Astyanax mexicanus: one gene and its partners. Each later gene encodes a partner of the first gene's protein in a complex. Links are inferred from orthologs where the notes say so. Each region holds a gene or a part of one and is shown on either strand. Other genes may lie near its edges.

What was found.
Region 2: the proteins of dkk1b (region 1) and kremen1 are in contact, whole or in part, in a crystal structure (PDB 5FWW), measured with the Homo sapiens proteins. The link is inferred for Astyanax mexicanus from reciprocal best matches to the Homo sapiens genes DKK1 and KREMEN1. Residues at the interface, in NP_036374.1 of Homo sapiens: Cys189, Leu190, Arg191, Ser192, Ser193, Cys201, Arg203, Trp206, Ser207, Lys208, Lys222, His223, Arg224, Arg225, Lys226, Gly227, His229, Gly230, Leu231, His261; in XP_011528731.1 of Homo sapiens: Pro67, Asn88, Asp90, Asp92, Ser94, Trp96, Gly105, Val106, Tyr107, Trp108, Tyr110, Asp127, His128, Gly129, Pro132, Thr140, Asn142, Glu164, Ser165, Tyr167, Ala168, Phe170, Asn189, Val191, Phe193, His196, Asp203, Gly204.
Region 3: the proteins of dkk1b (region 1) and lrp6 are in contact, whole or in part, in a crystal structure (PDB 3S8V), measured with the Homo sapiens proteins. The link is inferred for Astyanax mexicanus from reciprocal best matches to the Homo sapiens genes DKK1 and LRP6. Residues at the interface, in NP_036374.1 of Homo sapiens: Glu185, His204, Phe205, Trp206, Ile209, Gln218, Val219, Thr221, Arg224, Arg225, Ser228, Gly230, Leu231, Glu232, Ile233, Phe234, Arg236, Ser258, Leu260; in NP_001401174.1 of Homo sapiens: Arg639, Glu663, Ser665, Ile681, Tyr706, Glu708, Thr724, Arg751, Trp767, Gly768, Gly769, Pro771, Val790, Gly791, Arg792, Asp811, Thr812, Asn813, Leu814, Pro833, His834, Phe836, Trp850, Ser851, Tyr875, Met877, Arg1184.

What each region holds. Positions count from the first base shown.
Region 1 is NC_064422.1:6,275,918-6,285,899, forward strand, and holds dkk1b (dickkopf-related protein 1b), read right to left. Parts: upstream 5,028-9,982; 5' UTR 4,907-5,027; coding exon 4,712-4,906; intron 4,147-4,711; coding exon 4,005-4,146; intron 3,279-4,004; coding exon 3,135-3,278; intron 3,016-3,134; coding exon 2,765-3,015; 3' UTR 2,336-2,764; downstream 1-2,335. UniProt on the Homo sapiens protein: Antagonizes canonical Wnt signaling by inhibiting LRP5/6 interaction with Wnt and by forming a ternary complex with the transmembrane protein KREMEN that promotes internalization of LRP5/6.
Region 2 is NC_064429.1:35,667,504-35,677,523, forward strand, and holds the start of kremen1 (kremen protein 1), read left to right. Parts: upstream 1-5,927; 5' UTR 5,928-6,100; coding exon 6,101-6,185; intron 6,186-10,020. UniProt on the Homo sapiens protein: Receptor for Dickkopf proteins. Cooperates with DKK1/2 to inhibit Wnt/beta-catenin signaling by promoting the endocytosis of Wnt receptors LRP5 and LRP6.
Region 3 is NC_064409.1:30,626,551-30,636,977, reverse strand, and holds the start of lrp6 (low-density lipoprotein receptor-related protein 6), read right to left. Parts: upstream 5,014-10,427; 5' UTR 4,484-5,013; coding exon 4,429-4,483; intron 2,083-4,428; coding exon 1,683-2,082; intron 1-1,682. UniProt on the Homo sapiens protein: Component of the Wnt-Fzd-LRP5-LRP6 complex that triggers beta-catenin signaling through inducing aggregation of receptor-ligand complexes into ribosome-sized signalosomes.

The DNA of each region.
Region 1 (9,982 bases):
ATGTCTTTAGTGTTAATGTACAATGAAGAACCGACATTAAATAAAGAAAGAAAGAAAATTTTAATGAGAAGATGTGTCTAAACGTTTGACTGATACTATATATATATATATATATATATATATATATATATATATATATATATTATTTATTTATTTATTTATTTTAAGCGTTGGGGGACTTGGTTTATTGGGTACTCGAGAAAATCACGGGAACTTTCAGTTTCTACAAAAAGCAACTGTTTCTGGCATTTTTGAAGCAGGATTGAGCTGGTTAATTAGGAACCTAGATCACATTTGAGTTCTGTCACTGTTTGGTAGCCAATGTCTACAAAATAAGGACCCCACTTTGAGAAGAACCCTGGCCAAGAAACATATCAGTTGAGTTTTTAATGGGATGTCTATAGTTTACTGCATGTCAGTTATGAATGTATTTTAATTTATTTGACTGTTTTTTTACTGTTTTGTAAGGATTATAAAAAGCTGGGAACCAATAGTGGATCTGAGGAGTGGATCTAGTGGCATTTTATTTGTGTGCAGCTTCTTTTTTTTAAAGTGTATTTCATCAACACACAAGTTTGTCTTTATATTTGTTTTACCTAAAAAAGTGATAATTCTAATACATAATGGTTATTTTTAGTTTATGAAGATTTAATGTGATATCTGGATGTAGTAAATTCAATATATTTTAATTTTATTAGTACAGTTTTCTTAAAACGCTTTTTTGCCAAAGCCATCCAGAACATCAACGTTCCTCCAACAGACCCAGGAAGAAGCTCGTGCCTTTAACTGTGGGTTAAATTAGTGGGTAAATATTTATCTCAAATTAACATGTTGGGGGCCTTTCTAAGTAAGTCTCTCAAAAAGAGACTTCACTTACTTAACTATTTGTTGCAAAATAGCACTGTGAAACAAAGTCGCCCTTCAGTCAACTTCAAAGCGAGCCAGGCTTTTGAGGAGCACTGCAAACATTCACACTGGCCCCTTATGAGGCCCTTAAATTGCTGTTTTATTGTATCCGGCACAGAAAAAAATAAAAAAGAAAGAAAAATAGAAAATCCACTTCTATTCAAGGTACGATTCAGTTATGATTCCTAACACAACCGTTTACTCCCTTAAGCAAATATCAGATTGAATAGCCGGGGACCTCCTCTGGAATCCCAGAGATGCCTTGTTGCCCTCAAAGAATTAGCCACTTTACTGTATAGTTGGCAAACTAGGGAGTTTTAAGTTTCTCTTTGCGCCATTGTGACAGTTGGGATTCCACGCACAGATGTTTCTGGGCCCTAAGCTGTTGATGGTATTGACAAAAGCTGGGGGACGTCCTCCCAGCACCAGCCGGAGCACATGGATAGGACAATTGCAACATGTATATCCTGTGCTTTGAAATGCTTACCCTTCTGCTTTGTCTCCTTTGACAGCTCCAAGTAAGCCCCCAGTTTCCAGTTACTCCAGAGGAAATGCAAAAAGGACATAGTTCTCAAAGAGGAGAGGGCACTAAAAAGGAGGGGATGTCTTGAGTGGCGGGATTTCATGCTTTTGTGTTCCTGCCTTGCTCTATTTGTACATACAAAAAAAAAAATACTTTCTCAAAAGTACAACCAGTAAATCCCCCTGCACTGAAAGATGGTCAATAAAGTTGTAAGAAAGAAGTTTTTAAATACAAAAATCATTAGATTTAAGCAACTTACATGGTTTCAAACAAGAAAAAAATGCTGAAAACTTACACCAAATGAAACCCCTCCATTATAAACTAGTATATTCACAAAGAAATATACCCTCCTCTTCTCTGAACTATGATACTTAATTTTTCAAAACTTTGACCCTTTGGTCTCATATTAAAACACTGCAAATACCACATAATAATTACACTCAATTAATTAAAAACAAGATGGTGGGAATCCCAGTCATGAGTTTCTCCTGCCAGTCCAGACAGAATCATTGGCAAGGTATACACATTTTTATCAGATTTTATGTTTTAAACTAGTTTATTTACTTACTGTAGAAAGCTATACATTAGTTTTTGGGCTAATTTGGCCCTTCTCATTCCATATGGGATGGATCATTTTTAAACGTTAAAATAAACTACTGTCCCCATTAAGGATGAAAAAAGACAAACTTAATTTGTTATACTCTTTAGGTCCTATTAATCCCACATGTCCAGGATAAATTGCGCACCAAGAAAAAGTCTATGTCTCAGGAGGTTAACTCCTGAAATATGTAAAATATTAGATTCCAGATAAGATTCAAATTTGAATTCAAATTGTAAATAACACCTGCCCCAACCATTCAAAAAAGTGCAGAACTGAAAGAAAGACTCTTTATGCTTAGACATGGATTTGAAATATCAAATATCATAACTCTTTATTTAGAATAAAAAATAGACATATATCAGACTCTATACGATCATGAAAATCTGTATGTACATTTACAATAAACTGGAAAAAGCTTGGTAAAATCCTCATCCTCAAAAATCATTGTGTTGACAAAAAAAAGAGTTAAGTGCCAACTTCCCTAGTATTTACAATACAGTAATGTACTGCAACCATCAAAAGCCAAGTTCCATAGAGAAACATGTATATCTACTCTGCAATGTTGACATACAAACTGTAGACAGGAAGAAGTAAGAACAAGAGTATTCCAATCATAATCCATCCATCCTTTCATCCCTTCATCCATCAAAATCCATCAGTAATGGAGTTTTCTCTTTCTTTCAGATTGGTCCCACTTTCCAGAAGCTTTACGCAAACAAAATCCCACTGGATTCTCAGTGTCTCTGGCAGGTATGGAGGCTTCTAGAGGACTTGCTGTGGTCTCCTCGTTGCGTCCGGCAGGACAGGCCTTCATCGCAGTCGCAGCGCTGGAAGATCTCCAGTCCGTGAGTGCCTTTCCTCTTGTGCTTGGTGCAGACCTGACCCTCCTTTAGGACAGGCTTGCAGATCTTTGACCAAAAATGGCGAGCACAGCACAGCCCCTCCGCACAGTCAGAAGACCTCAGGCAGGTCTCGCCCTCAAGACCTGAAACATTAAAAAACAGACCAAAAAGCAGATTAGACCAAAAGCAATCACTCATAAATTATAAGAATGTTTATAATTGCAATTAACATATGTTTCCAAAAGCATGGTTAATAGCTTACCTTTCAGGTTTTGAGCTAGATTATGAACCGGTGACTTGGGCTGCAGTACCAGTGTGGCGTTCTCCTCATGGGGGGCGCTAACGAGCACAAATTCTTCTACTCCTGCTTGGAGGGCAATGTCAGGGTCGTTTGGTTGACACACTCCTGTTGAAAACAAAAATATATGGTTTTATTCATTCATTCTTGTCATTTTACAATATACAATGATAAAGCAACAGGTTGTTCACACTTTCCTTTCCACCCTAAAATGATGTAGTAAATGTTAAATGCTTTATGAATGTTATACATTTCTGTATATGTTGTGCAGAAATCACAACTTATTTTAATATTCTGTGCCATCTTAAAAGTATAGGATAATAAGTAGAAAGTGCGTCAAATATGCCTTTTCAGCCTGAAGCCTCGTAGTTAAGGTGAAATTGTAAATAAGCAGAATTTAAGGTGGAATGGTTAATTCATGGTAAAATATATATGGTAAAGTGAATCGTATTAAAATATTTTTTTTTTTGACATGGGAACCGTACATTTATTGTAATATTTAACATTATAGATTTTGACACCCCCCCAAACAAAACTTTTTATAATAAATGTAGAGTTCAGGGTTTAGGTCATGCCGAATCGCAAGTAAAAGATAAAAAAAATGCACTGTTGAGGTATTGGACTGGGAATTATTGGAAAAAAAAGATGTCCTGACTTCATATGTAGTTCCTGTAAAAATGTTGTTTTCTTAAACCCTGGATTTTAAAGACCCTATTCGCCTTAGTGCCCAACAGTGGAGACTTCGCTGTTTAGGGTATCGAACCTACAACCATGTGGTGGATACAGACTGTCACAGTATTTTAACTACCTTATATGTGTGAAGGAGGCTCTTACCGTTGTTGCAGTGGTTTCCAGGGCAACACATAGCATCCCGGATGCAGCGCTTTCTCCTTTTCTTACACTGGAGGCAAACGCCGCGCGATCGGAAACAGAACTCGTCTTCAGCGCACTGTTCATCCACCACACATACAAGAGGCTGCGTTTCAGAGAGGACAAAAAGAGAGAAACAGCGACGGTATTAGTCAGTGAAAGATTTAAAGAGCTGGAAAATATGGGGAAACATTCATAAATAATAAGTATCAAAAAATAACACTGAAAACGTTCAATTTACTTTAAGACATATTAGCGGTTCTTTAACTTGAAAATGTGTATGCATTTTTTAAAGTTGCTTTGAAAAGAGAAAATATTTCTCCTGAAGGTTTCTTAAAAACCTTAAAGATTAATATTGAAGAACCCCTAAACGTTCCTCGAGGAGCCTTATTAAAAGATTTTATGAAGAAAAAGGTTCCTTGAAGCTTTCCTAAAGAACTAGATAAGGTTTATGTAAAGTTAAAAAATAAAGAACCCATAAAAGCTCCTCAATGAGTTTTTAAAGAAAATGTTTCCTGATATTTCGTTGAGGTGCTTTAAAAAGAGTCATTTTTTAAGTGTTATTCTACAGCTTGAACCGTATGGTTCATGCAAACAATTTAAAACTGGAGAACCTCTAAAGTTCCTCAAAGAACTCAGTGTGGGACCCCCGAAAAGACCATCCTCCTCACCTGCATGGTGTCGGTGGCGAAGTTCTGACTGCCCTCATCCACGGGGAACACCTGTGGGCTCTCGCTCACCGCCTGATCCGAGCTTTCCACAGGTGCACCCACCTTGATGGCGTTGGAGTTGAAGAGCCCCCCGGCCGCCGCCGCCGTGGCAGTGATCAGGGTGAAGGTCAGGGCTGAGAGCGCCGCCGGCCACATGGTCGCAGATAGTCCGCGGTGGAGGTGCTGCTGGTGCTCGGTGCGCTATATTCTCCTGTTCGCTGGAGCTCCTGGAGCTAAGCTGCTGGCTGAGCTGTGTTCTGAGGCTTCATCAGACCCTGGTGCCCCATTTATACCCACCCTAATGTTTGCGTTCACGCCCCTCGCTGAGGGAGGGGGATGCGATTTCAAAGGGAGCGGCGCTGCTGGGGCACCGAACCCGGGCTGCCCACCGACAGAGAGCCTTCCCTCTGTGTGTGTGTGTGTGTGTGTGTGTGTGTGTGTGTGTGTGTGTGTGTGTGTGTGTGTGTGTGTGTGTGTGTGTGTGTGTGAGGCATCATCACAAGCAGCTAACATCAAACACAAAGCAGAGTAGTCTATTAAGTGAGCGGTTATCCTTGCTTTAACTGGGATTAAGGAAATGTGTATTGGAGAGCCGGTCTAATCAAGCCGGATTATTTACCTCCAGTTACACAGAGGGATGTTTATAGTATTTTTTTTATTTTCGATTTAATGTTATTTACAGTATTAACTAGTTTATTAACCACTTATATAATAAAAAGTAATAACCAAGTTTCTCTTTATTCGTTTTATGTATTTTATTATCTAAATCCCATGTGAAGATTATTTTTATTTTTTATTTTAACTAGTCGCATTACATTAATTTACCGCACTGCTGTGAACTTTTTTTTTTAAATAATACATAAATATTTGTATTATTAAATATTAATTTTCAGTTTTTTTGCGCCTCTTACTAAACTGCTTATTTATCCACCCATCCATAATTTGGAGTTTGATTATAATATTAAGTATAATTTAAAAGTTTATTAATGTGTAGAGTAGTCTATATGAAAAATAAAATACGTTTCGATCTATACTTCAGTGCCTTTAGATATGTCGATATCTATTGATTAAATAAAAGAATGATGCACCATATTTGCTAACGTTCTTTTTTTTTGTAAAGAGTGTAGAGAAGTGTACACATATTATTATGCGTGGATAGTGCGAGTTCTAACCTCTGTGTTGTATTGTTGCGGCTTAGTGTGAACTTTTCAAAACTTTTTAAAAATATATTTTTTATTTATCTTTAATTTTAAACACATCATTTTACCTTTTAACTCGTGATATACACTTAATTGTTCCATATCATATAATTAGCAATCATTGTGCAATAAGTTAATAAAAATAATTAAATCAACGGGTTAAATAAAACGTCAGGCTTTTTAAGTCAGTGCTCCTGCACCTGCACTTTCTTATATTATGTAAATACAGTGTTGGTTCCACATACAATTTTGGGGTTGCCGACAGGTCAGGCTTTAAAAATGTTTCAGGTATGTTTAGTGGGTAAGTGTACAGCAGGCAACGAGCTACAGAAGGTCGGCTGAAGTCGGCCTCTCCATGCAGTGTCGCTCCATTAGCCGTGTTTGATGCGAGCTCTTAATTGTAATGGAGGTACTTTGAAATTCAGTTGACAGAACAAGAGGCGAAGATCAAAGAGGGGATGCAAATGAGAAGGAGGGAAAAGTTTACCGAATTAATTATCATTCACTGTCTGCTTTTCAGTAAACAGTGGCTGATTAACACTCTTCGGTGAAGAGATGAGAAGTGTAGGTTTGTTGTGAAGATCAACCGTCCCGAGGTTCAATCAGATTGAGGTATTTATTCTTGACTCGACCTGTTAATGTTATCTATGAGTAAAGCAGTTGAGATAGCTTGTTCTGTAGAAAGAAAACATGCCTACTGCAAAGCTAATGGCCAATTACAAATCGAGACATCTAGGCTTTTGAAGTTTGAACACAGCTTAGATGCATTCTGGTTCTGGTTATTTTTTTTTTTTTTAGATTTATATATTTTGACAGGATAAATAGTTATCAATGGTTTAGAATACATTCAATAAATAATAATAATTAGATAAGAAACAATTGCCAATATATATTTTTAAATAATGGACTACATAGCCTACACACATCAGAAAAGACGAGGCTGAAGTTGGTTTGATATTCGCAGCTCCAGATTCGTTTGGCTCGATATTCGCAGCCTCGTATTCCCCGGCTGAAGTTGGTTTGATATTCGCAGCTGCCGCTTCACTGAACCACCGTGAACTAAAGGGAGCGTTCACAAACACCCGCTGTTTATATTAAACACCTCACAGATCAACACTGAAGGAGATAGAATGAAGAAAAGCAGTACATCTGTTTATTAACAATGTAAATATACAATATATTATTAAATATAATTTTGTATATTGTAAAATATTTATTTTAATTACTGAATTTATAATTATATATTACAATAAATAATTAAATATATATTTAATACAATTATATTTTAAAAGCCATTGCGCTCAAATAATATGAGGCAGATGTTCAAGTGTGATTTTGAAGAACTTTTTCATGTTGGGCCAGAACAAATACACATGATCTGAAGAGTACTAGTCTTCTACTTTAAGAAAAACCTGGAATTAGCCTGGCCCAAGCTGATTTTATACTTTAAAATGAACTGGCAATCTTTGAAAGACTTTTTCATCTTGGGCCAGAACACATACACATCAGATGAAGAGAACTACTCTCCCACTTTGAGGAAAACCTGGAATTAGCCTGGCCCGAGCTGATTTTATACTTTAAAATGAACTGGCAACAGCATACCAATCCATAATGCACAATTTTTTTTATGTAAAGCTGATGTTCCAGTGTGATTTTGAAGGACTTTGTAATCTTGGGCCAGACCAAATACACATGATCTGAAGAGTACTAGTCTTCTACTTTAAGGAAAACCTGGAATTAGCCTGGCCCGAGCTGATTTTATACTTTAAAATTAACTGGCAACATGGCATACCGATCCATAAGGCACAAAAAAGTTTAATTTAAAGCTGATGTTCTAGTGTGATTTTAAAGGACTTTTTAATCTTGGGCCAGAACAAATACACATGATCTGAAGAGAACTAGTCTTCTACTTTAAGGAAAACCTGGAATTAGCCTGGCCCGAGCTGATTTTATACTTTAAAATGAACTGGCAACATAGCATACCGATCCATAATGCACAATTTTTTTTATGTAAAGCTGATGTTCCAGTGTGATTTTGAAGGACTTTTTCATATTGGGCCAGACCAAATACACATGATCTAAAGAGTACTAGCCTTCTACTTTAGGGAAAGCCTGGAATTAGCCTGGCCCAAGCTGATTTTATACTTTAAAATTAACTGGCAACATGGCCTACCGATCCATAATGCACAAAATAATTGAATATAAAGCTGATGTTCTAGTGTGATTTTGAAGGACTTTTTAATCTTGGGCCAGACCAAATACACATGATCTAAAGAGTACTAGTCTTCTACTTTAAGGAAAACCTGGAATTAACCTGGCCCGAGCTGATTTTATACTTTAAAATTAACTGGCAACATGGCCTACCGATCCATAATGCACAAAAAATTGAATATAAAGCTGATGTTCTAGTGTGATTTTGAAGGACTTTTTAATCATGGGCCAGACCAAATACACATGATCTAAAGAGTACTAGTCTTCTACTTTAAGGAAAACCTGGAAATATCCTGGCCCAAGCTGATTTTATACTTTAAAATGAACTGGCAACATGGAATACCGATCCATAATGCACAATTGTTTTTATGTAAAGCTGATGTTCTAGTGTGATTTTGAAGGACTTTTTAATCTTGGGCCAGAACAAATACACATGATCTGAAGAGAACTAGTCTTCTACTTTAAGAAAAACCTGGAATTAGCCTGGCCCGAGCTGATTTTATACTTTAAAATGAACTGGCAACATGGCATACCGATCCATAAGGCACAAAAAAGTTTAATTTAAAGCTGATGTTCTAGTGTGATTTTGAAGGACTTTTTAATCTTGGGCCAGAACAAATACACATTATCTAAAGAGAACTAGTCTTCTACTTTAAGGAAAACCTGGAATTAGCCTGGCCCAAGCTGATTTTATACTTTAAAATGAACTGGCAACATAGCATACCAATCCATAATGCACAATTTTTTTTTATGTAAAGCTGATGTTCTAGTGTGATTTTGAAGGACTTTTTAATCTTGGGCCAGACCAAATACACATGATCTGAAGAGTACTAGTCTTCTACTTTAAGGAAAGCCTGGAATTAGCCTGGCCCAAGCTGATTTTGTACTTTAAAAGGAACTGGCAACATGGCCTACCGATCCATAATGCACAAAAAAATTGAATATAAAGCTGATGTTCTAGTGTGATTTTGAAGGACTTTTTAATCTTGGGCCAGACCAAATACACATGATCTGAAGAGTACTAGTCTTCTACTTTAAGGAAAACCTGGAAATAGCCTGGCCCAAGCTGATTTTATACTTTAAAATGAACTGGCAACATGGAATACCGATCCATAATGCACAATTGTATTTATGTAAAGCTGATGTTCTAGTGTGATTTTGAAGGACTTTTTAATCTTGGGCCAGACCAAATAGACATGATCTAAAGAGTACTAGTCTTCTTCTTTAAGGAAAACCTGGAATTAGCCTGGCCCAAGCTGATTTTATACTTTAAAATGAACTGGCAACATGTAATAAGGATCCATAATGCACAAAGAAATTTAATATAAAGCTGATGTTCTAGTGTGATTTTGAAGGACTTTTTCATCTTGGGCCAGAACAAATACACATGATCTGAAGAGTACTAGTCTTCTACTTTAAGGAAAACCTGGAAATAGCCTGGCCCAAGCTGATTTTATACTTTAAAATGAACTGGCAACATGGAATACCGATCCATAATGCACAATTGTATTTATGTAAAGCTGATGTTCTAGTGTGATTTTGAAGGACTTTTTAATCTTGGGCCAGACCAAATAGACATGATCTAAAGAGTACTAGTCTTCTACTTTAGGTAAAGCCTGGAATTAGCCTGGCCCAAGCTGATTTTATACTTTAAAATTAACTGGCAACATGGAATACCGATCCATAAGGCACAAAAAAAGTTTAATTTAAAGCTGATGTTCTAGTGTGATTTTGAAGGACTTTTTAATCTTGGGCCAGACCAAATACACATGATCTGAAGAGTACCAGTCTTCTACTTTAAGAAAAACCTGGAAGTAGCCTG
Region 2 (10,020 bases), on another chromosome or scaffold:
CTAGGTTACCTGTATGTGGCGGAGTAATACACGGAGAGCTTCGGTTACAGTGCATTACCAGCTGATAATGTCACAGTGCGGGTTCGGAACTAACTGGTTTATAATATTGATTATAACCACACCGAACTGCCATTACAATGTTAAATTAACATTGACATCAACATTGCATTTGGTGTTGGTTTTGAAAAGTGAATCAGAATTGATATGGCAACATTTTTTTAATGTCGTATGTTTAATTTTGTCTTGCTTCAAACTATTGCACTACTTAAGGTGGAATAGCTTACTTTAAGGTAGACTACCGTATTTTTTTTCACACTATACAGCACACCGTATTATAAGGCGCACTATCAATAAGTGTCTAATTTCTGGTCTATTTTTATACATAAGGCGCACCAGATTATTAGGTGCATTTTAAGAGACACTGTAAGCAGTGGTCCAGCAGTGCTAGCTGGGTTTAGTTATCGGCTACAGGCCGATAATACTCACCTCTGAACGGGGAAATAGTGAGTGCGGCTAATGCTAATGCTGCTCCTGCAGTGCTAGCCAGGGTTAGCAGGAGGCTACAGGCTGATAACACACTGAACTGTGAAATAGCTTGCACATTTAGCAGCTAATGCTAAAACTGCTTTAGTTTGCTTTAAACTGCTACACTTTTTAAGGTGGAACAGCTTAATTCAAGTACAATTAAATATAGAGCTTTGTTTCATATGTGTCTTGTTTCAAATCGCTACACTATTTAATGTGGGACAGCCTAATTTAAGGTGGAACAAATACAGGGCTTAGTTCATTTTTGTCTTGCTTCAATTTGCTACATTATTTAAGGTGGAACAGCCTAATTTAAGGTGGAACAAATACAGTGCTTAGTTCATTTTTGTCTTGCTTCAAATTGCTACACTATTTAAGGTGGAACAGCTTAATTTAATGTGGTGGAATTTAAGGTGGAATAAATTTAGGCTTAGTTGTTTTCTGTTGTGCTTAAAACTGCAGCACTCTTTAAGGTGGAATAGCTTTAATTTTAGAGGGAATTAATACAGAGCATACATTTTTATCTTGACTCCTACTACTACTTGAAAGTACTAGGTAGTTTTAAGGTGGAACAGTACAATTGTAGGTACAAAGTAGAATAGAAAGAGAAGATATAAGTGAGATGTAGAATAAGGGCCGAGTCTAAGCCTGGTCCTGTCTGAACCCGTGCCGAGCTGTTAAGTAAACTGGAGAGTGCGGGAATGCGACTTTAAACCAAGCTATGGCTTTAAAGTGTGTTAAGATGCGTGGATATGGTATAATGCAGTATAATAACTGAAGTGTATCTTCTTCAGAAGTGTTTAAGAGCCGAGCGCAGCGAGCGCAGAACAAAGGCTGGAGATACTGTCGCTGCAGTCAGCCATGAAGAATGTACCTGAGGAACAAGTTCAGACCAGAGCAGCATGTGATTTCCAGCACAGCCTCAAACAACACACGCCTCACAGTGTGTGTGTGTGTGTGTGTGTGCACGCGCACACTCTGAAAACTGTTACACCTCATTTTTATGTGTTCATAAGTGAATCATCTGTACACAGTGAATCGTTATCATTATAAAAACCACTTCATTATAAACACCCACCTCGTGCTTTATCACAGCGGACACTTTATTGGAAACACCTGCTTTGTTCCTTGATTCACTGGTCACTTTATTGGAAACATACCTACATTGTGCTTTATCACAGTGGCCATTTTATTAGAAACACCTACGTTGTGCTTTAAACTACTGGCCACTTTACTGGAAACACCTACCTTGTGCTTTATCACACTAGCCACTTTATTGGAAACGCCTACCTTGTGCTTTTTCACAGTGGCCACTTTATTGGAAACACCTGCTTTGTGCTTTAAATCACTTAATTCAAAATACATCTAACTGCATTACTGGTGAATTTATTGGAAACACCTACCTTGTGCTTCATCAGAGTGGCCACTTTATTGGAAACACCTACCTTGTGATTAATCACTCTGGCCACTTTATTGGAAACACCTGCCTTGTGCTTTATCAGAGTGGCCACTTTATTGGAAACACTTGCTTTGTGCACTAAATCATTGGCCACTTTACTGGAAACACCTACATTGTGCTTTATCACAGTGGCCACTTTATTAGAAAGACCCAACTTATGCTTTAGGTGACTGGCCAGTTTATTGAAAACAAATCTTGTGCTTTATCACACTGGTCACTTTATTACAAATGCCCGCTTTCCTGCTTCCGCTGACTGGCCACTTTATTGGAAAACCTTACTTTTGTTCTTCTTCACAGGCCATTTTATTGGAAACACTGAGCTTGTGCTTTATCACAGTGGCCACTTCATTGGAAACACCTGTTTTGTGCATTAAATAATTGGCCACATTAATGGAAACACCTACCTTGTGCTTCTTCACAGTGGCCACTTTACAGGAAACGCCTGCTTTTTGCTTTAATCATTTGCCACTTTATTGAAAATACATCTAATTTACTCGTCAATTTATTGGAGACACCTACCTACCTACCACTTTATTGGAAACACCTGCTTTGTGCTTCAAACCACTGGCCACTTTACTGGAAACACCTACCTTGTGCTTCATTACAGTTGCCACATTATTGGAAACCCCCCTACTTTTGTACTTTCACTCACTGGCCAATTTATTGGAAACACCTAGACCTTGTGCTTCAATCATTGGCCACTTTATTCACAATACATATAACTTTAAATTACTGGTCAATTTGTTGGAAACAGCAAGCGTGTGCCTTATCAGAGTGGTCACTTTATTAGAAACGGCTGATTTTCTGCTTCCACTCACTGGTCACTTTATTGGAAACATCTATTTTTATGCTTCTTCACTGGCCTATTTATTGGAAACACATTTTTTTGTTCTTCCTCTCACTGGCCAATTTACTGGAAATACCTACCATGTGCTTTATCACAGTGGCCACTTTATTTGAGAACACCCAACTTATGCTTCCACCCAATGGCCACTTTATTGGAAACACCCTAACCCTAACACTTATCTTTTGCTTTATCAAAGTGGCCACATTATTGGAAACACATACTTTTGCGTTATTCACAGGCCACTTTATTGAAAACACCTACACCTTGTGCTTCTTTCCAGTGGCCACTTTATTGGAAACACCTACCTTGTACTTCTACTCACTGGCCACTTTATCGGAAACACCTACACCGTGTACGTTAACCATTGGACACTTCATTCAAAATACATACAAAATACAGACAATTTACTGGCCACTTTATTGGAAACTTCTACTTTTGCGCTTCCTCTCTGGCCAAATATAACTTTTCAGAATTTTTTTTTGGCCACATTATTGGAAATCCCTACCATGTGCTTTAAGCCAATTGCCATTTTATTAGAAACACAGACATTGATGTTCTTCCACTGAATGCTTTACTGTACTATACAGAACTTCTTTTGGTACTATCTAGAACCGTCCTTGCCTAGAACTCTTTGCTAGACCGTCTCCGGTCACACAAAGTGCCACAGAGCTCAGGAATGCAGTGGGTTGTTTTCTAAACAGCGCTCGAGCGTCAGGACCTCTCTGCTGGTCAGAGCAGCGGGTGTTCAGGGGTCAAGGGGTCGGCTGTGGTGAGGGTGAGGTATTCTGCGGTGCCCTCTCGGCAGGGTGCGTCCCACAGACGGGCAGTGCCCTCACGCTCACGCCGGGTCTTCCAGATTCACCCCGAGGCCTTAAAGCGGAGCTGGGCAGCAGTGTGTTATTTCTGCTCAGCGATCCGGCAGCAGGTCTGGGTTCTGGGTGAGCTGGTTTTAATCTCGGTGGTCAGTGAGATCAGTGTGGAGCTGGAGATGCGGGTGCAGGCCGGTTATTTGCAGGGCGGGTGGTGGAGCTGCCCTGTCATTCCTCTGAGCTTCAGTAATGGGCATAACGGGCCCACCTAGGAGACTGCAGTACCCGCTGCTGCCAGCAGAGGAAGACACACCGCACCAGGGCTGGGGAGGAGATTCGGATATTTGGGTCAAAGGTGTAGGAGTGGGTTTGATATTGGGGGAAACATTTGATAAATTGGATTAAATCCCACCCTATGGTGACATTAAATTACAGTTAACCACAAAAAAAAGAAATGAATTTTTTTTCTGTACTTCTGTTTATTAGTAGTTAAATCCAACTAAAGCTCACTTTACAACCTAAACACGTTACTCCACATTACATTTACTGTTGCTAGAAAAAAAATTATGCGTGCAACAACTGAATGATATACATATATGATAAAAAAAAAAACTGTTAGGTTATCACCTAATATTTAAAATTGTATAACAACAGATTTGGTTATTATTATTATTATTATTATTATTATTATTATTATTATTATTATTATTATTATTATTATTATTATTATTATTATGTATTGGCATGCCAATTCTATTGTATACTTACATTTTCTCACATCTTTGGGTCCTGTGCTTTTAATTTTGTCTACTGGAAGCACTTCTTGCAATGGTGACCTTTTATTATAATAATCTAACTTTATATATATATCTCCATTTTTTACGATTTTTAGTTTAATACATAATTTGAACACACAAACTTTCCTTTACACTGTGTCAAAATTTCATGATGAATTGCCAAATAGAAATTCTCTAAAATGACCTGAAATTAATTACTTTTACATTGACTTCCTTTGAAAATTAAGTTGATGTTTTGGACATACTTGTTTTTCATTGGACAGCGACGATATAAACGCTACATAACCCAAACCCTCCCAGTCTGTTAGCAGAACAAGACATTATGCATAACCTGTTTTTATTGCATTATATTGTTATTTATGGTTGTGGTTCATTGCTCTCATCACTGACCTCTCATATAAAGCTATAAATTTGTGCTAAATTTAGCACCACCGCCATGAAAAGCACCCTCTCTCAGGAGCACGCACCCACGACTTCTTGGCTTTAACTTTACTTAGAAAATGGAAATACCCAAGATACTGTTCTAAGCTATGCTGACTCAAAAGAAATCAAAAATACACATAATTTTTAAGTGGTATCTTATTTACTATGTACATATACTTTGCATCAGACCTACTACAATGCTGCGTAACCTATGTTGTAGCCTATGTCGTAGCTTAATGAACACCTACAGGTCGCGCTATGAGCTATGATTGGTCCCCAGGGCCTCGCGTTCCTGCCTCTCGCTGGCTAGCATAGGATACAGCGTTGGTTCGGCGCAAAATTATAAAAACTGCCTTTAGCTTGTGCTAAACGCTGAAACACAAACAAGCTAGTTTATGATTAACTGCAATAAAAACACTTAATCTGAAACTCATTATTTATAAGGTCTTACATCTCCCTTATCTGCTTATTAAAACTTGCCACGGACAGTAGTTAAAGATGCCTCCCTCAAACGAAGTCTTCTGGCTAATCTTGCTGTGTACTGTCTAAGGTTCTCTACTAGCAGACCAAATGGAAACTTTTTTTTCTTCAACTAGAAGATCAAGTGGGTAAAGCTCAGTTGGGGGGTTGACAGGTGAGGGGTTGAGCCAGGGTTTATGGTTCTATGCAGGTTTCATTATTGCGACATCGCAATAAATTTTAAACTGATTCGCAGAAAACGATTGCTGATGAATGGATGATTTTTTTTTTTTTTTTTTTTTGTTTCGAAACCTTAATGGAAATACAAAAGCATGCAAACATTTAAATTTGTGTAACATTTCTGCTTTATGCATGGTTGCCATGATTGGTGGTGCATTGGTGGTGCATGATTTAAGGAGGCAAAACCCAACTTTCTTCCCAAATTTCCAAGCCTTCCCAAATGTATTTTCCTGTCACGTGATCAGCAATACTACCCACCCTCTCTTCTTCCCTCTCTCTCTCTCTCTCTCTCTCTCTCTCTCTCTCTCTTTCTCTCTCTCTCACCCTCCCTCTCTCACCCACTTACTCACCTTCTTTAACTCAGCCCAGGGATCCTCTCGCGCTCCACTCAGTCCCCTGTACTCAACAGCAGCAGCAACAGCAGCAGCGCTCAGTGCAAAACCAGAAGAAGTAGAAGCTCGTGCACCTAAACGGCGCATCTTTGAGACGAAGATCAAAGCAGAGAAGACGAAGAGCAAGAAAAGAAAGGAGGAGAGAAAGAATGGAGGCAGGAAAGATGGACAGTTTGGGAGTTTTATCGCTCATCGTCCTAGCTGTGCGGGCGGCTTTCGGCCAGTTCCACTCCGGTGAGTAGCAAACCCAGTACACGAGTTGTGACTTTGTAGTTACTTTGTGGTGGTTTGCGTGGTGTTCTGATGGGGTTTACAGGGAGTTAATGGTGAGAAATACGCTTGAACGAGTGTTTAGAGTGGTTTAAAGCTGTTTGTGCAACTTTTGCATTGTTTAGGAAGAAGTTTGAGGCTGAAAGTGCTCTTTCAGTTGTGTTTGTCAGTCTAACTCTCCGTTCCACCTTAAATAGCGCAACGGTTGCGGGCGCCTCAATGCAACCGCTGCGCTATTTAAGGTGGAACGAAGAGTTAGGAAACGAAGCTGATTTAAGTGTTTTAGAAGCAAGTGTGTGATGCTGTGCGCGTGCAAACTTATTGATAAGGCCTTAATTGAGTTAATTGTGCTATAACTTGTCTTTTATGTCAGTTTGAACTTGAGAAAAAAAACATGTATACTAATATTTTTGGTGTTTTATGTCTTTGTATATATACACACACACACACACATATATATATATATATATATATATATATATATATATATATATATATATATATATATATATATATATATATATATATATGGAGCTCTACTGCTTGGACAATAAAACCATTGATAATTATGGCTTTATTTTAGCACACTACATATATAATAATAAAACATTCAATTAAACATTGTGTTCATCAGTTAATACATCATAAATAAAATATTTGCTTATTTAAATGAACAGATGAGTGGTGAAACATATTTTAAAACATATTTCATATGAATCAGTTATTAATGAGCTAATAACGTCTATAATGCAAGAAATGAGCAGGACATAAAGTTAATACAGCATCGACACTTTGTGTCTTGTATTATAACTTAGCAAAACTAGACAAATGTACTGTAAAAAAAACTGTAAATCGTATAATTTACTATAATTCATTGGTAATTGATGAGCTAATAAGGTGGATAAAGGTGGAAAACATGGTGAAACTGGTGTAAATGTCTACAGTGGACAATTTAAGCTAATTTATTGATTAGATTTTGTATTTTAAGTTATTAAAAGTGGACAAATACAGATTTCTCAGCTTTAAAACTAACCATTGAAGCTTATTAATTGATTATTAATAACGTGACATTGTTATTAAGACTAGAACATTATAGAACAAGGTGATAATTCAGCAGCAAGACATTAGATTTTGAAATGTAAATAAATGAAAGTGGACAAATGCAACCTTTTCAGCTTTGAAACAAACAATTTTAGCTTATTAATATGTTATAAATAAGTGAAGAATAAGAGCTTAATTCAGCAGCAAGACTGTAAATGAGCAAACAGTGTTTTTAAGAACAAAAACACTGTATATTTTTAAATGTAAGTATGCAAAAGTGGACGAATCCAGCTTTTTTTACCTGTAAATCTGACAATTTAGCCTAATTATTTTTTTTTAAATAAGCGAATAAGGTGATACAAGTGTGTTAGAGGTGAGAAACAGTAAAACAGGAGGACATGTCTGTATTGAACTGAAAGAATAAGTGTTTATCTATTGTACGCCAAATTTAATCTTGAATTTCTAGCATAAATTATTAATTAATTTAATTGTGATCAATTATGTTTATTATAGCAGAAAAAACTTTAATGATCACAAGATATTGAATAAACAGAGCAGCAGACTGTGAGATAATGCAGTTTATGCTTAAATCTAATGTAACATACGCCAAATAAAAACTTTTCTTTTTTTTGAGATTTTTTTTATTATAATCCTGCTGTTATTAAATTAATATTGAACTAATAGGGTAAATCAGCTTTAATTCTAGGGTAGTATACTTCTAAACACAATTATATATGAAAAAACAGTGCACACTTCAGGTTGTATCTACTGTTATACACTTTATATAGCCTATTAAAGGATTATTTCATATAATTATCACAGAAAATCCTCTGAAATGTGCAGATTGTTGAGTAAACAGAGCTGTAGAGTGCGGGTCACTTTTACACAGTAGCCAAAAATGTGTAATTACTGCGTTTCCAGCTCTAATCTGCTAATTTCCCTTCATTAATGGATTAAGAAGTGAGTGGATGAGCTGGTTCAGGTGTGTTACAGCAGGTCATACAATAAAATGTGCAGTGTGTGAAAGTGTGTAGGAGTGTGTGAGAGCGTCTTTGCACATTTCACTGTTTTTTCAGCTCTTATACACCATCATTTAACCCTATTTTTTGACTGTTAATGAGCTTTTAAGGTGGAACAGGTGTATTAAAGGTGGAATCAATGAATGAGATTAAGTTTCTTTAAAACAAAAAGAATAGGATATTTAATAGATGCATTACGTTTTTATTGTGTTTATCACTTAGATTCATATTTAGCTTTAAATAAACAGCATAAATAATAAATATCTTAATATTTAATCTGATGGACAGATTAATAATGTAACTATTATAAGAATAAGTTCATTATATCAGGAAAAAACTCAGTATACTCTCAGTAGAAATGTGAAATTACTGCTTTTCCATCTTTAATTCTCCTCATTGACCTTCGTTATCCGATTAACTGTTATACACCTTATATAAGCTATTAACTTAATTAATATCTAATATATTTATCACAGCAAATCATCTGAAATGCGCAGATTGTGTAATAAACAGAGCTGTAGAGTGCGGGTCAGTTTTACACAGTAGCCAAAAATGTGTAATTACTGCGTTTACAGCTTTAATCTGCTAATTTCCCTTCATTAATGGATTAACTGTGAGTGGATGAGCTGGTTCAGGTGCGTTACAGCAGGTGCAACACTCAATAATATGTGTAAGTGTGTGTGAGTGTGCATGCTTTTATACACACCATTATTTAACCTTATTAACCTTTTTAAATCAGTTAATTATCAAATTATTAAATAAAATAAGAAATTAAATATAGTAACTCTTGTGTTTGTCTCTTATATACCAAATTTAAGCTTGAATGAACAGCATAAATGCTATTTTTAGCATAAAAGACACTAAATTAATTTGGTAAATGCTGATTAATTTAGTTTATTCGGCTAATTTACCTTCATTAATGGATTAAACCTGAGTTTATGAGCTAGTATAGTGTAGTATAGTGTCCAGTAGGCGTCTCACACACTCGGCCTGCTCTCTACGTGTCTTCAAAAATGTGTACACATCCGATAAGGGACAAGACAACACCCATACGCACTGTATATCATCAGCTCATTATACATTTATACATATTCTCAGTGTTTAAATCACATGTCTGCTAAATATCCTAAATGTAAATGATATAGAGTTCATTATATCAGAAAAAACACTAAAAAAGTGCAATTCTGCACCAGTTATACACTCAGTAAAAATTTAGAATTATTACTTTTACATCTTTAATTCTGATAATTAACCTTCATTATCAGATTAACTGTTCTACACCTTATATTTTTTTATTAAATGATTAAATATATTTAATTTAATTATCACAGCAAATCTGATAAATATTCTAAATGTAAATGTAAGAAAAGTAGTTTAACAGTTCTTATAGTGCTGTATTTTCATTTACAGCTCAGTATTGAGCTAATCTGCTCAACATTTATTTGATTAATCGATTAGTCGTGATTATTTTTGTCATGTCCTCTATTTGAGCTTCATATTGGTCAGACTCCTGATCCAATGCATGACTAACTGCACTCTGACAGATAAACTTTTACAGCCTGAGAACAATTTTCCAGGATATTTTTTTAATGTTTGAGATAAATATATTTTAATTTAAACATTACAAAAAAAATTATAGGAGATTTTTTTTACTTAAATGTGTCTTCAATGTAAATATCAACAGAAATTATTACTATACTACTTGTTTAATTATTTACTCTTAAATTTCATTCTAAAAT
Region 3 (10,427 bases), on another chromosome or scaffold:
TCAACGGTAGAATTGCAGCCATTCTACTTTAAACTTTCCAACAATGTGCCTTTTCAACATATTGGTATACAAGTTAAGGCACAAAAGACGGGGAGCTTCTTGGTTGTTTTCGTCCTGCACTCGGACAACTTGCACGCAGAGATGTGTGAATAGTAACTGTGTTGTGAACTTGTTGTTTTACTGAACAGAAAACTTTCTTGAACTTTTTTTACAGAGCTTAAGTATTTAGCAAGCTTCTTAAAACATTTTAAAATCAAAAACATGCCTGATTTCCATCTACTTTGCATCATAAATATTTCAATCATTTATGTGCATCTAAGAGGTCCACAGGTTGGGTGCTGAGTTACAAAAAAAGGTAAAGTGTCCTTAGGTTAGTAACAGCTGCTACCAGCACTTGTGCTATTATTACTGGTTGTTAGCAATCACAGTGCTTGCCAAAACAAGCCAATTTACAAACAGCATCATTAACATATCAAGTTATAAACATTTCAACAAACCTTGCTTGCCTTGAATTATAAACACAGATCTGGATGTCCATCTTAGAAGTGCTTGGATGTATAGACCTAGTTGCGGCAGAGTTGCTTCTCCTGTCCCTTCTTATTCCTCTTCCCTTTGTATTTGATGTTGAGCAATGAAGCCTGACTATATCAATGTAGACTTGTGTTGTCCTTGTTAGTTTCAGACAAAGCAGAACCTCACTTATCCATATAGGCTGTGGTAGGTTTGGTACTTTCAGTACCAGAGAAAACAATTCCGCCACATATTCGAAAAACTCACAACATCCCTATAACCTACATGCAGAAAAACTTAAAACTACAGAAAGTGCAAGCAACATTTGCTAGACCTGGACTAGCATGGTTCTTTTACAAACACTGAATGAAAATTAAGTGAATTAAATTAAAGACAATTGAAATTATTTTAATTTCTGGTTGAGAAAAAACTGCACCAAGGAAAGTCTCTGAACATTTATTTAAAAAAAAAATCTACAAATATTGGTGTCTGAGCAAACAACAGATTTTTTGGCAGACATGACATCTTATTTAAACAAGAAACGTGGATGCAGCCTCACACAGCTGAAAAAGGTAGGCTAAATGCCATTTGGTGCAAGTCTAAGAACATGCCAGAGATATTTTCAGAGCATGCGTCAGAAGCAGCAACAGACAGAGGCATGGGGAAACTCGGTGAATGGCTTTTGTTAGCCTACAGTTAGTGACTGATTGCAATCTACACCAACAAAAGAGGATATTCCTGTCTCTCCTTTCAATAGAGGTACAGAAAAAGTCAGCTATTGAAGGAAATGTAATCCCTGCACCTAGTTTCATCCTGTTCTTTACCTGCAGAATGGGGGATAAACACAAGTCTTTCTGAAGAAATAACAGGTAGGTTCATCCTTTGCTAATTTCAACTGTTAAACTAGAAATCATGGTATACAAAGGAAAGTATCTACTGTCATTAAAAGCAGAAACACTGCAGTTTTCACACAAAACTTTGTCAGGCAGTTCTCTCAGCTTGTACAGCTTCCAACCACTGAATGCTCAGCATACTGTACTGCCAATTGTGTCTCAAGTAGTCAGGAGAGAGCTGGTCCTGATATTAGTCCATTTACCAATAATAAATCACTAGTAAAAAATGTGATTGTTTAAGAAAAGCTGTACTTTGAAGACAAAACTTTGCTCACTTACCCTCTGCACGGATCCAACGCAATTGCTCTTGGCTGATCGAGGCCTTCCCAAAACAAAACTTTCCGATAAGATCCATCAAATTCTGACACTTCTATTCGGTTGGTTTCTGAGTCCGTCCAGTAAAGCTTATTTCCCAACCAGTCGCAAGCCAGACCATCGGGAGAGGCCAGGCCAGACACCACGGTGGTCTGGATACCGCTGGGGCCGGAGGCGTTTAAGACGGTGCACTTGATTGCCTCCTCACTCACGTCACTCCAGTAGACCAGTCCCTGGGTGTAATCAAAATCCACGGCAGCTGCATCCTCCAGGCCACTCACCACCACCGTGGCGTTCCCACGCCCATGAGCGGCGTCCACCAACCGCAGGTCACGCCGGTTTGCATACAGGAGAAGCGGCACAGCTGAGAGTGAGAGGGAGAAATCAACAAATATATTAGCCTGGCAAAGCAAAAATCCCTCCAATATATAAAGATATTTCACAAAACAAAATTTAATATGTGATGTGTAATTACTTGTTAAACAAAGGCTTCCCCGTATGGAAACAGGTTACACTAGCTGAGAGATACAGAAGCAGTATCTAAAGTGAATGAGGCACAGTGACTGATATGCCTGGTAGATTAACATTCCCAAATGCTGTCCATCCCAAAACAATCTTTCATTTATCATAATTTTGATGATTTTGATTTGAGGTCAGCAGTACGAACTTGGCACACAATGTAAACCTAAGCTCACGCAGACAATGCCACACATCAGAACACAGCTACCTTCTTCTGTTACAAGCAGCAGAAACTAAACAAATGGAGCTCTAAAGCAAACAGCACTGATATTCTGCCTTTCTGTCTTTAACTCAGTAAACAAGTAATAAGAAACTTCAGATCAAACTAAGTTGGCAAAATGTAATTTGTGACTGAAGTGCTAATTTGCTGCCTTATCTAGAGTTTTAAAAGCATTATAGAAACGTTTGCATTATGTGTCTGCTAACAGGGCTCCTGTACAAAAATAAACTGACCTAAGAACTTCCCCAGATCTGTATCTCTTACCTCTGCAGGGTTTTGGCACTGACTCAAACCCCAATTTGACACATTGACCACTGCTCTCCAGCGGATCACTTTGGAGGGCAACCTCAAGTTCCCAGTCTCTGACCGATTGACTGGCCTGCTTGCCGTTATTTTTGTTTAACATGAGGCCTGTGAATTTCCTTTCCCAAATATTTATAATCTTGCAGATCACCAAGACAGCACATTGAAGTCCATCCAACACCCTTCACTTACTAGCCAAGTGTAAATACAGGGAGTATTGCACTTTTTGGACAGTTGATACTTGGCTTCTGATCATATAATTTTTGTAGCCCATCTTAGTTTGTAAACATTTTAACAGGTTCTGAAAGTCAGTTTGTTTGCATAAAGGTGGCATTCCCTCTCTACCAATTTTTTATTTTTACCTAAGAGCTTTAAACAGTCACACAGTACGAAAAATATGAGCATCAAACACATTTTAAAGCAGAATCTGCTTACCACTAATTCTAATACCCTTGTGATACACTTAATTTTAAGCATACAACTCTCAAATTACAAGCGCCTTTATTATTTTAACTACTCCACAAAATCAAAATCTTAAAATGTTATTATTATTATTTTTTTACCTTACCAACACTCCAGGGCACAGGTCAAGGAAAGAATGGCTGTGTAACAGATGTATAAAAGACGATGTGTAGCTATAAGTATCTGAAAGTGCAGCTCTGCAACTTCACTCATTTAATAAAAATAACTACAACAAACGTCAGACATCTTTGATAATCAACTGTGGATCACCGTGAACTTTTAAACGATACGTTTAATATGTATTTGAACGTTTCATAAGAATATTAAGGATTACATGTTAAGGAGAATAAAACGCCAATGAATCTCACAATTATTATTATTATTATTATTATTATTATCATTATTATTATTATTATTATTATTAATAGTAATGTTGCCTTAAAACCTTAAAAAAACAAAACACCCAATAATAAGGTCTAGGGCCTCGTTAGTGAAAGTTTAGTGGGGTTGGTGCTGACAAGTTCGGGAAAGCCACGACATCCCTGATCCATCACTGACTGCAGAACCCTGAGAGTTTCAGTGCTGAGCTCTGCTGTTAGCAAACATTCTGTAACGTTAGTTACCTAGCTCAGATTTAACCTTCAGACAGTGAACTCTCCCCTCTCACTGCGGACAAAAACACACTGAGTAAGTTAACTGACTCGCGTTTACTGTCGTTTCTCGGTCAACATTATTCGATCAGAGTCGGGTCTCTGCTGAAAGTGTGGAGCTGCTTTAGCCAGCGCTAGCAGCACAACAACCAGACTAGCTACAACAATACGAGCAGAACGGCTAACTCTCCGCTCCAGCCGGGCGCAGATCACCTACGGGAACGCTTCCCTGCTCTGTGGTAAAGCAGTAAAACACGGTCTGGTTCGTGTTGTTGGTACCTGGGCTAGTGGCTTCAAGTTTCTGAAAAAAAAAACGGGCTGCAGCTCGGCCTGGGCTACACGCTCCCCCGCAGCAGCAGCACTCAGGCTAGTGCAGTAGCTCCGTCTGCTCCCCGCCGGAGTGAAGCTCGCTGAAATATTGGGACACTACTGGAACACTGTAAACCAACTAAACCACCAACACCTATCTGCCTGCTGGAGAGAGAAACGAGCACACCGCTCAGTTCAGAACACCCAAACACTTCCCAACGAGAAAAGGACGACAGTCCAAACTCACCCCGTATTTGCAAACAGAAACTACACAAAAAGAGACTCCGCAGCACGGCGCCCATCTTTCCCCCGTTCTCTCGCCTCTGCTCCTCTCTGCGGCCGGATTTCAGCGCGGGGCTCGCATGGCTGTGTCCTGCTGCCCGCGCAGAAGTGATTCGAGGGTTTAGGGTAAGAGACTTCAGCTGGAAGTGCTGTTATAAAGCCACCGGGGCCGCGGGTTTTCTCCGCTCCATTCTTTCTTTCCTCTCTCGAGCTTCAGCGGCGCTACGATTTCCCCCCTCCACGAAAAATCCTGCCGCCGGAGCGCAGCCACTCGCCGCCTCTCGAGCCGTGTCCTTCCGCCAGCAGGAAATGCTCCCTGAAATCACCCGACCGCTGTCTATTGTTTGTACCGGAGTGTCCCGAGTCAGATACGAGGTTTATCTTAAAAACACAGACACCGGACCTCAGCCGCCCGTCTGTGCCGTAACCGACAGTGTGGAATTTCAGCCAAAGCGCGGGACCCGTGCGTTCAGCCCGCTTGTTTTAAAGCATGGGAAACACATTCCGACGGGACTAGTTTTTCACGGAATGGTCTGGTGCTTCGACCTGTGTGTGTGTGTGTGCGCGTGTATACGTGTGTACACACACACACATCTGCGAGTCAGTGCCGAGGGCTCACACGCTGGTGTGGAGAGTACAGAACGGTCACCAGTCCAGACGAGCCGCTTCAGAGCTGGATAAGAAAGTTTGAGCAGTAAAGCAGCGGGTATACCCCGATTAGACTGCTGAGGATCAAACCGAGTGACTTAAATTCCCTTTAACTGAGTCTAAAAAAAATCAACATGGGTGGTAAAGCAAGAACATTTAAGCCATAGCATTGTTATTACAGTATTGTAAATATCATAAAAGAGACTATATGCAAATTCCAAGTATTATTTCATCAGTCACACCAGGCTCAAACACTTGAAAGTATTTCAAACACAGTTATCTATGGAGTTATTTTTGTGCCAAAAGTTATATATACTTGTACTTGTAACTATATATACTATATATATATATATATATATATATATATATATATATATATATATATATATATATATTTGGTTACTTTATTATTCTTTGCAGTTATTAAATTAGAACAATTATTTGTTTGTATTTTGGCAGCCTCTGCTTTTATTTTTGTGTTTTTGTCTCTTAGTTGCTTTTGCTTAATTATTTGTGTCCATATGTGTATTATCTGCAATTCTGATAGCAGATTTTATAATTTTGTGTAAAACTTTTCGCAACTCTACAAATATCCTGACAATTTTACGTGCATTTTTACTCTACATAGACAAATTAATTAACAGGACAAGGGCACTTTAGTGGGCCATTTAGATTTCAGCTGGAACACTGGCGCTCTTGCCCCGCCCCTAGAATTGGAAGTGAGCAAATTGATCACACTGTAAATGCCTAAAACAATAATTCCTTGTGACATGCCATTTGTGTTGTCATTTTGTTTTCTAAAAGAGTTTCTTGATAATGTGTTGTCCTTCATAATTTTTATTTTTACCTGGATCTCAACGATCTCAAAAGAGATACAAAAATGTTTTAATACATTAAATTTAGGCTATAAAACTTGATTCACATTCCGAACTCTCATTCGGAGTGTAATCCATCGTGTCCACGACCACTTCGCTAGGTGGCAGTGTCGCGAAAACAGGGTCCTAGAACTGCGGTCCTGAAACTGCAGGGTCCTAAAACTGCAGTCTCCGAGGCTGCAGCTATACCCTTCTCAAAAAATCACACCAAAATATTAAGAAAATATTTCTAGCAAAACAGAAAAAATATTTACTAACAAAACATTGTTGTTTTGTCTGGTGTAAGAGGAATTTACATATAAGGGAACACAGGGTGCATCCAAAACTATTACTAATACCAGTGCAAGTGCAGCATACAGTATCCAACAAAAGTGAAAACACCCCTCACATTTCTGCAAATATTTCATTTTATCTTTTCATGGGAGAACCCTATAGAAATGAAACGTGGATATAAATTATAGTAGTCCATGTACAGCTTGTAAAGATTTACTGTATTCCTAAAACATCTGAACACTCCCCACAGCCATTAATGTCTAAATAGCTTGCAACAGAAATGAGTGCGCCTAACAGTGAAGAATTGTGCCCAATTGTCCCCCTGTATCTCCCTGGTGTCATGTGACTTGTTGGAGTTTCAGAGTTCCAGAGTTCCAGGTGTGATTTTGGGGGGGATTCTCTCATTCTGGCCACTGGATATTCAACAATCCACTTCATGGAAATTAAATGAGAATGTGAGAAACATAATTGTTGCTCTTCACAAAGATCTAAGCTATAAAAAATGCTAACACCCTGAAACAGCATGGTGGCCAAGGTCACACAGCAGTTTTCCAGCACCAGAAAGCTTTTAAACAGTTTGCTGAAGACAAGCAGTCCAAGAGCATGGATTAATGGAACCATATCCTGTGATTTAATTAGAACAATACAAACATGTTTGGCTCAGACGGTGTCTAGCATGTGTGGCAGCACCATGGAGAGGATTACCAAGAGAACTGTCCCTTGTCTACCCTCAAGCATGGTGGAGGTAGCATCATGGTCTTGGGCAGCATAAGTGCTGCTAGCACTGGGGAGCTGAATTAGTGTACATAAACTGTGATATTTTAATGCAGAGCATGATTCCCTTCTATCCCAAACACACCTCAAAAATTACATCTGCCTTGCTGAGGAAGCTAAAGATAAAGGGGATGGACTGGCTGATTTTTTAATCATGGGGGAGTGGAAGAGGATTCCAGTGGCAACCTGTGTTGCTCTGGTGAATTTCAAGCCAGCCAGTCACAGGTGGTCAGTCAGTAACTCGGACAAAGGCAAAAAGTTGGAAATAGTTTTGACTGGATTTATGGGGAACAGAGAAAATGTGAATCAGGCAGGCTGTATCCTGGATCTGCAGCCTTTATCTAAGAGGAAACATTAATTACCAATAGCTAACCTAAACAATTAAGACAGTATTTGAGACCCGAACATCTTCAGGAAGGTCATTCCAGAGCTGAAATACCCTTGCTAAACTCCTCTTAATTCTGACAACTGGCATATTTCAGTTCCCAGTTGAAGTTGAAGTTTATTTAAGGTTTTGCTGGAACATCCTGACAGTTGCGCATTACAGTAGTCCAACCTTGATTTAGTGAAGGCATATAGGAATTTGTCTGTGCAAGAATGAGGCATTTCTTAGCCTTTCAATGTCATTGAATTGTAAGAAAGCTGTTCTGGTTAGAGTATTGTTTATCAAATTCTAGATCTGAATCCATGACAACACCAAGATTTTTAGCTGATGAACCAGGTGTGAGATAAATGTAAGTCTGATAATTTATATCTGGAAGATTTAAATCATAATTGGAAGGTATATAATTTACCTTCACAAACTAATAATGATCACGTAAATATAATTTAAACCATGATATGGCTGTTCCAGTTACACCGACCATGTTCTTTAACTTTCTAGAAGCATAGTATGATCTCTTGTATCAAAGGCTGCACTCAGATCAAGAAGTACCAGCAGGGAAACACAGCCTTGGACAGCGGTATGAAGCAGATTGTTTGAGTTAAAGGCTTCCAACCTAACTGGCTTTTGTTCTGGATGTGCTATTTATCTGTTGATTAATTTTTCAAATATTTGAAATTGAATTATTGAACAAGTCCATAAAAGCCTTGCTGGTGTGAATGGCTGCAATCTGAGTTTCAGTACCTGCCTGGTTTCAGTCAGTTTGGAAATAACACTAAAGAGAGCTCAAGGATTGTTTTTATTAATGTCAATCTTGCCAGATACTCTGAGCAGATCTATTAAACAATACTGTCCTTTTAAGCAAAGTGGAACACTTCCAGAGTGTAAAAGGTTTATGGCCTTTTACACTCTAAATTTCATACTAATTGCTTTAAAGTACGCATTTGATCATTGTACCATGGGGCAAGCTTTTTCTGTGTCTCTTTTCTGTATTGAAGTGGTGCTACCCTATTTTCTAAACAATCGGTTAGTTTATCTAGCTCTATTGGGTCTGCTGGAAAATACACTGTGCTTGATAAATTAGGGAGGTTACCAGTGAATTGTCATGCTGTAAATTATTGTTTAGATATTGTTTTTTTAATGGTTGATGCCGATATATATAAAGCCGATATTTTTGTTGCAAATGATTGTTTTTTAGTTTGTTCCCCCCCATTTATTTATAATAATAATAATAATAATAATAATACACATTATAACCATCTGAAATTACAGTATTGAAATAGTTGAGTACTTTAAACAGACTTTAATTCCAGTGTTTCAAACATTGAATATTTGAGACCTTTACACTTGGAAAGTGTGCAGTGTATGCAAAGAAGAGACAACAGAATCTTTTACAAGTGATTTAAAACACAAAATATGGGTAAAATATTTACACAAAATGTACAACAATCATATCTTACCTCAGTCAATCAGTGAGATTACAAAGTAATAAGAGAGACCCTGCTCTTTCCACTGTCTACCTATTGTTACAGAGGGCATCAATAGGTAAATTAAGTAGTTAATGCATATTTAAATCTTCCCATTATCACAGTTTATTATTATTTACTCACACAATCAATGAAAGAGTATATTGTGAAAAAAAAAAAACGGACATTCTGCATTTTAAAGAGTCCCCATTAATAATGCCTTCACAACATGCAGTACCATCATACTTACAAGATGAACACCGAATGTAATATAAATGCTTACGGTGTATTTACTAGTGGGGAAGTGAGCAACCTTGGAACCCCCACCCCTTGGTGTAATTGTTTGGCTTTTGTAATCTGGCTTTCTGGCATTTTGTTTGAGTGATTTAGCTATAGCAAATCAGTTCTAGAATTTAGCTGGGCTAAATTGCCTCGTTAGTATTAGCTTAGCTAAAGTAGCCTGTTAGCCGAGCTAAAATAGCCTGTTAGCCTTAGCTGAGCTAAAGTAGCCGGTTAGTGTTAGCTGAGTTTATTTAGCCTGTTAGCAAAGCTGAGATAAAGTAGCCTGTTAGTCGAGCTAAAGTAGCCAGTTAGCGTTAGCTTAGCTAAAGTAGCTGGTTAGCATTAGCTAAGCTAAAGTAGCCTGTTAGCATTAACTAAGCTAAAGTAGACAGTTAGCGTTATCTGAGCTAAAGTAGCCGGTTAGAAGCACTGAGCCAAAGTAGCAGTTCCCTGTTAATTAAGCTAAAGTAGCCTGTTAGCGTTAGCTTAGCTAAAGTAGCTGGTTAGCATTAGCTAAGCTAAAGTAGCCTGTTAGCATTAACTAAGCTAAAGTAGACAGTTAGCGTTATCTGAGCTAAAGTAGCCGGTTAGAAGCACTGAGCCAAAGTAGCAGTTCCCTGTTAATTAAGCTAAAGTAGCCTGTTAGCCAAGCTGAGCTAAAGTAGCCTGTTAGCGCGTCCACACGCAGCGGCTTCTCTCTCTCCCAAGGAAACTGTGTTTTTGTGTTTTTTGTCCTGTAAGTTGCACTGTTCCTGTACTTCTTTTTCATGCTTTTACATATTGTCTCTTGTATGTATGTCATGTATTTTTGTGTGTATGTCATGTATGTCTATCTGTGTCCCTGTTGCCCTGTTGTACATATGTAACAGTGTTAAAAGTATATATAAATAGATAACAATATATAAATTACTGCAAATGAGTTCAGCACCACCTGCTGGTCAAAGGCTGCCAGTTTTTAGTATAAAATGAGTGCATGCTGGGAGACCCCCAGCAGTCTGAGATATCCCTGCTGTGGGTGAGTTGGCTCTCTACAGAGCTCCAGTAAAAATCACTAAAATAATAAAATAAGTACTCAGTGCTAGTATATTTTAATACTTAACAGCTCTAACCGACTATATAATGAATGTGCATGTGTTAGTTACATGGATTAAGTCATTTTTGTGTGCCAATTAGCTAGCTAATTAAGCTAGCTGATTTAACTAACAGGCCACATGTCTCTGTTGCTAACAATAGCTAACTCTGTTTAGGCTGGCAAAGCTGACCA